Linked DNA regions of Oryzias latipes. The protein of the gene in region 2 purifies or fractionates together with the protein of the main gene of each other region. This does not show direct contact. Links are inferred from orthologs where the notes say so. Each region holds a gene or a part of one and is shown on either strand. Other genes may lie near its edges.

What was found.
Region 1: the proteins of mrps27 (region 2) and noa1 purify together in Homo sapiens (co-immunoprecipitation; 3 studies listed by BioGRID and IntAct, counting the BioPlex papers as one, with this or other methods). This does not show direct contact. The link is inferred for Oryzias latipes from reciprocal best matches to the Homo sapiens genes MRPS27 and NOA1.

What each region holds. Positions count from the first base shown.
Region 1 is NC_019868.2:3,207,562-3,211,872, forward strand, and holds the start of noa1 (nitric oxide-associated protein 1), read right to left. Parts: upstream 3,060-4,311; 5' UTR 2,857-3,059; coding exon 2,682-2,856; intron 2,085-2,681; coding exon 1,119-2,084; intron 1,029-1,118; coding exon 864-1,028; intron 794-863; coding exon 689-793; intron 589-688; coding exon 497-588; intron 1-496. Other genes in the region: protein NipSnap homolog 3A, read left to right, coding at 3,574-3,642. UniProt on the Homo sapiens protein: Involved in regulation of mitochondrial protein translation and respiration. Plays a role in mitochondria-mediated cell death. May act as a scaffolding protein or stabilizer of respiratory chain supercomplexes. Binds GTP.
Region 2 is NC_019867.2:7,672,095-7,674,610, forward strand, and holds the end of mrps27 (28S ribosomal protein S27, mitochondrial), read right to left. Parts: coding exon 2,475-2,516; intron 1,110-2,474; coding exon 861-1,109; 3' UTR 714-860; downstream 1-713. UniProt on the Homo sapiens protein: RNA-binding component of the mitochondrial small ribosomal subunit (mt-SSU) that plays a role in mitochondrial protein synthesis. Stimulates mitochondrial mRNA translation of subunit components of the mitochondrial electron transport chain.

The DNA.
Region 1 (4,311 bases), on a different chromosome or scaffold from region 2:
AAACTTCCGTTTGCCAATTCTACGTTACACAGACCTGTTCTTCATCCCCAGGTGACCAACACATAAAGTGGTTGCTATGGAGATGAAACCAACAGAACAGTTGCCATTTAAAAAGTGTTTTTTCATGATTCTGTCACATGCAGCTCTGACCAGAGGAGAGGGGAAGACTGGGGGGCTTGAAGCAGGGGGAGGGCAGGGGAAAAAAGGGGGTTGGCGAGGGTCAGTACGAGGGTTAGGGCGGGTAGCGCCTGCACGCCATGCAACGCCACACGCTCTGTAGACGTCTATGGGATTTTGGCTTCGTGGAGCAAGCGGGTACTTCCTATATGGAACGTGTGGGGGAGGGGGCCATTCAATCCAGTTCTCATATGCAGTTCAACATATCAACATCATCTGACATTAAGCCCCGAACTAAAACTGTAAGTGGGTGTGGCTTCTTCCAGGTGAGTTCACATGTTCTTTGGGAATATGAGCTTTGACAAACTGAGAATCTCACATCGTGTTCTTTGATGATCCCCGGCGTGTCGTACAGCCAGTGGGCGTCCTTCAGCTCGTTGTAACTGAGCTCGTCATGTGACTGGTGCACAGCTGTCAGGGGGAGGAAGTTTAGATTTTTACATTTTTTTTAATTTATGGTCCACATTTGGAATCAGTGACATCACTCCTCATCTGTCCAATCACAGCTCACTTGTCTCTGCCGGCTCCTCGTCTTCTCCAAACGCCAAACTGTCTGGATCAAACTCAATCTCGTCTCTTTTGGGTCCATCGGATCGGAAAGTCCGCCCCACTCGACCTGAACAGGCAGACAGGTTTTCAGCGGGGACCCCCACACATCCCGTCCCTGCCACACCCAGACATCTTACCCACTAGGTACCCCTGCCGGCTCAAGTGCTGCAGCCTCTTCAGCTCGAGTGGGGTTAGCTCGTTCTCCATCTGCTGCTCCGCCTCCTTCAAGCGCTTCTGCCGCCTGAACATCCTGTACGGCGTTGGGTTGATGATGGGAAACTTCAGCAGGTTCAGAGTGGTCCCTGAACACACCACAGGAGGAGAAAGCAGCCACGTGATGACAGTGCTTAACAACTGGAATGTAAATGCACTTGAGCAGGGCGGGCTCTGACCGGGCCACGGGGAGATGGTGGCTTTGTGAATGACGTCTGAGGCTCTGGACTTGCAGTAGTCCGACTCCAGCAGCGTGTTGAAAAGAGTGGACTTCCCGGCGTTGGCACTGCCTACCAGGTACACGTCTCCTTTGTACTTCCAGGATCTCTGCAGGCTGGAGATCAGGGCCTCCACCCCATAGCCGGTCTTGGCGCTGATCAGGTGGATGTCCGTCACCTGACTCCCAAAGCCGGCTTGCTGGCAGTAACCGGAGAGCTGCCGCTTCAGTCTCTGGAGGTAGTTTGGCGAGTCACCTGGCAGCAGGTCGATCTTGTTGCCGAGCACGACGATGTGCTTGTTGGCGCCTACCAGGCCCGGCAGGTCGGGCACGATCGAGTCGGGCAGGTCCAGGAGGTCCACGATGAGCAGCACGAGAGCCCTGTGAGGCCGGATCTGCTGAACCACCTCCCGGTACTGCTCTCTGGTGAGCTGCAGGTTCAGCGCCTTATGGTGGTGGGTCAGCAGGTGGCAGCGTTGACAGATGGCTCCGCCCAGCTGGCCGTCCATCAGCAGCGCCTTGTATTTCTCGCTGGGCAGGTATCCAGGGACATCTGCAGCTGTGCAGTGCATCAAGGCGCCGCAGCCCGAGCAACAGGTGTCGCTGATGGGCTCCTCCACATCAGGGCTTCCAAAAACCTTGTGCCCACCTTTCCCTTCCACCCCTTTCTTCTTCTTCTTCTTCTTTTTGGAGTCTGCAGAGAGGATGCTCTCCTCCAGAGGGAAGTCCTTGTCCTGGAACTGGATGAGCGATTCTGGCCCCACGTTCTGCCGGGCCCCGCTCCTCAGCGCCTGCAGCTGCAGCTCCAAAGACCTGAGCTGCTTCTGAGGGGAGACTGCTCCTTCAGGAGTGGATTCTGTAGCAGTGGAGGAGACGCGGAGCTGACGGAGGAGCTCCTTCTCCTCTTGATGGGGGTCCTCCTCTGGACCTAAAGAGAGAACCCAAATACTTAGCTAATCAACATTTCTGATTGTTATGTTGTTGCTCCTTGTAGTGCATTTATAGTATATTCTGTATAATATCTTTAAATAAAAGCAGAAGTACCCGTCTCCATGTCAGACCTGTAGTCCCGCCTCCATGGGCGGGAACAGCTGAGAAATATAATTGAGAGAGGGATGCTTTTGGAACAGCAGGTCACCAGAGCGTTTGCTCTTCAATGCTGACCTGATCATGAACACGGAGAAACATTTCCCCCAAAACTACATGGATCTATTTCTCTGCCAGTGGATGCTTCAGAATGCAGCAGAGTGACCTGCCCACTGTATTTTCTACGTCACATAGGACATGATTTGAGTAAAGAAATACTCAGAAATGCAATTATTATACTCTTAATTTTCTTTGTCTGTGCAACACAAACCCTGTTGATGTTCAAGACTTCACTTGAATGAAGACATAAACTGCTGAATATTATTATTGTGGTTTATTTATGTATAGAATGTGTATATTTCAGGTAAAACCTCCCGTTTTAGAATCGATAGAGGCTGCAGCACCGCTGTTCACAGAATACTCTGCTGTCTCTGCTCACCTGAACAATCCACGAACACGAACTGCTCCTCCAGGTTCGGGTCCACGGTGCAGTCTCGGTCTCCGGTCCGGCTCAGTCTGCCCGCGAAGCCGCGACTGAGCCCGCGCGCCCCGACCGCCGAACAGACGCGCGCGCACAGCCGGCGGCGGACACACACCTGCAGCACCTTCAGCATGTCTGCCGGCGCGCGCTGCAGTACGACACCAGACTCACGAGGGCCTTGGAGCTCAGGAGCGCACGAGACTCACTACTGCCGCTAGTCCACTTCCGTGACGGATGTTACGTCACGAATGTTTATGTTCCGGGAATATGCTTGCGTTATTATTATGGTAAAATTAAGTTTCCAGATTTCTGCTTGACAGTGGAAACGTAAGAAACAACATTTAATGAGAACTCTCCGATTTTTTCTGGAAGGAATGTTTGTTATTAATTAAGCCTTTAAAGGATTTGACGTCACAGCGTAACAAGAAGAAGGCTTACTCTGTTGCAAATTCAGGATCGAGCGAGTCCTCTCTGACCTTTAGGGCTCCGATAGGAAGCTGAGCTGACCTCTATGGACCCATCAGGCTCATGAAGCGTGTGTCCTTTATTTGTGCCTCTAACGTGGAATCTGAAGGTTGTGGTGAATCGTACGCATCCCACCTGGTTTGTGAAGTAGGTAAGAAATTGTTTTTTTAACACAAGTACAAGAATTCCATGCTATAGAGATTGTCCAAGGAAAAGCATAGATTTGTGGCTATATTTGTTGTTTCACACATAATTTCTGGGTTGACCTTTACATTGTAAACAAACCGACAGCTGAGACCCCGTTTGCATTGATATTTTTCTCCCAGAGTGAGCGCTCTCGCCATCAGAGGATCTTTGCAGGTCGCGTTTCTTCAGTCCGACCAACATGTCGAAGCTGAGTGTGTTTCTGAGGTCCGCTGCGGTTCTTCTCAGACCTGCTGCCTCTACCTCACAGGTGAGTCCACCTGCACAGACCAAGACCTGTAAACCCAGAGGTGGACCTGCAGCTGCTGCAGACCGAACACACTGCTCTGACACCACAAGGAGTCCTCCTGCCCTGCAGGTCAACGCGCCAGTGACCCCATCTGCACACCCCACTTATTTCTCGTCCTCATCTCTAGTAGAGGGGAGAACCCACGTGACGGGGTTCTGTGGTTCGGTTCGGAACGTTTCTGTTGATCTTTGTCTGGATTAGAGTCAAACATTGACCGACAGCTTAGGGGCCCCGCAGGTTTCGTGGACCCTGAACTGGACAGGGCCTCCCGTGGACCCGTCTGCCTTCGTGGTGCGCGCCCAAACGTGAACGCTCGTGTCACGTAGCTCTCAGGTGCAGTTCAGTCAGATATCCAGAAGGGGGCGACAGTAACTCTTCATACTCCAGCTGTTTTCCTCAGAGCATCCTCTCCTGGGGGGTATTCCAGGAAGCATGTTCAAACTACCCTGACTTTAACCCTGAACTCTGGCTGAAATCCGCCTGAACGTGCTTACTCGGGGTATGTCTGAGCTTCTTCTTCCACTACACGGCATGCTGCTTCACCTCTCTGAAAACAAAGTAACCTTCAACTAAACCTGCTACAGACCAGGTTATGTTCAGAGCATGAGTTGCTATGGCAACTTGACATAC
Region 2 (2,516 bases):
AAACATAAGAGGCTAAATTGAGATTTTTCCACATAATAAAAGGAATTTACTAGCTTGGGCATCCTTCCGTTTGCTGAAAGATCCACTGTTGCACTGATGGGTCAGTCAGGCTCTATTTCAAACGAGGATAAGAAACACATTCATTGCTTTTCAGCAAAACTATGAAAACATGTGCTGCTGTTTTCTAAAAGCCACTGGATCACAATGGGTCTTGTTTTGCCCCATACTTATTCATCCTGAGATGCATGCTGGGCTTTTTTCCCCAAGACCATGTGCTGAATACTGAATAGAGGCAGCATAATGTGAAATGAATGCATTCTGTGCTCCACAACAACAGCTTTTTCTCCTCTGGAGATCGATTATCTTTTCCCTTTCCAAACAAGCGCAGATCCACAATCTATGTTCTAGAAATCTGGTTCCATATTAGCTTATGCAGCACTTACTAAATTTGCACCGTCTGATTTTAAAGATTATCAGACTAACCGATAAACTTGTGTTTCCCTCTGTGATAGTAAATCCATTCCTCTGCAGGCAAAGAAGATAAAAATTAGAAAACATTACACACACACAAAACAAAGGAGAAGTAAAAGCTGTGATAGTACGAATATTTTAGAGCTTTCCCTGTATTCCTGAACACAATATCAGCAAATCCTTAATGAAAAGAACTCCTTTTTGGACATACTGCAACAGGTCATGACACACAAAAAGCAACATTTTTTTATACAAATAAGAGTTTATTTCTTTTGACCCAGACGTCCAGTTACATCTGAAAAATGCAGTAAATGATATATACAAAAGTAACAGGGTTGCATGCCAGTTTTGTATAGAGAAAAGCTTTTAACACAGAGCTCACAGAATCTCTACGCCTGCTGAGCTGCAGCTCTGGCAGCTAAGCGCTCCTGTTTCTCCTGCTCAGCCTTCTGCCTCGTCTCCTGCTCCCTCTGGATCAGCTGCCTCCTCTCAGCCTCCCAGCTCTGTACCTGGCTCAGGTACTCCTCCAGGTCTGGTTTTTCTGCATCAGCCAGCTGCTGCTCACACATAGCCGTCACCGTAGCCTTGAAGGAGGTGGGCTCTACTTTACCACGAGACTCAAGCTGGCTCATCAGCTCCTGGAGACCAAGAGAAACAAGAGGTGGTTGAAAGAACAAAACATTTGACATCCTTCAGAGTTTTTATCACAGCTTACATTTTCATGTTTGTCAATTGCAAGATGCTTCAAAATCCTGTTTTTCTTTTTAACTGTGTGCAGGTCTTGAACTTGACACCTTCAACTTGAACTCTTTAAATGAGCATTTGTGGTGTTTACAACACAGAAGCAGTTTCATTTTACTACCATTTGGCCTTAATTTGTGCAAATTCGACAGTGGCTAATGAAAGTGGGGCCTTTTTAAAAGATCATTAACAAAAGGCCAGGATTATGTAGCTCATTTTCCTCACACATGATAATGTGTATACAGAACAGAAGCATTGTTAAAATAAGAATAAAACAATTAAAAACATATACTTTGGGGTCTTGTTTGGGTCAAGAAAAACTGCGGTAAGATATTTTTTCAATGAAAACACTAAAAAAAAAAAAAAGCATTACCACAAATTAAAATGTAATAGTTCCTGGAATAAAACAAATACTTTGCGTAGATGAATGCTGTCAATTTGGAATAACTGGCTTTTATCTGTGGTTTTCTTTATTGATTATCTGCACAAGCCTAAATTAAAGTGCCTTTAAATTTTATGGGGTGCTTTATCTTTCTGCATTTATCCAATTTAAAAGGAGATTTTAAATTATTCTTAGAAGTGTGAAATCATTAGATGTACAAAATACCAAGAAGTTAATTCGTTTATGGAGAAAGCAAAGGGGGATTTTGGTCATTCTTGCTCAACCATTCATTAAACTTTGCCAGAAAGCTCTGAGATTTATTGCTGAAATACACTTTTTGTCTTTTACTAAATCACATTAATATGCAACTCTTGAAAGAATTAAAATGAAATTCCACTTCTCTGGCTCTACATACATGTAGCAACTGTTGATATAATTCATTAATACTCTCTGGGTTTGTAAAAAGCTTCTTTGAAATTAATCTAATGACATTTCTATGGGGAAAAATATATATTTCTCAGACTTCGATTCTGCAACATTTCCCATTTGAAAAGCTGAGGTCTGAAATGTTCCTCATAAATAAACTTAAGAGAAAGAATGTAAAATGGAATTCAGGAAATCCCATTATAGCATTTAAAAAGAAACAAAAGTTCACCTCAATACTTTGTAATGCAAGACTTTGGGTCAGGGAATGTTATGAGATGCAACTTTTCCTTTCATTTTAAAATGAGCCCACAGTGAACTGCTCACTCATATTTAATTGAAAAAACTCAACAGCTATACTACAGACATAACAGGAAACAGGGAAATCCTTGGAAGGAAAACTACCGTAAATCCAGCTGTGAGGACAAACTTGAAGCTTCTAACGACGGCCGCTCACCTCAAATCTGCTGACATAGTTGGGGAGTTTGGCCTTCTCGGC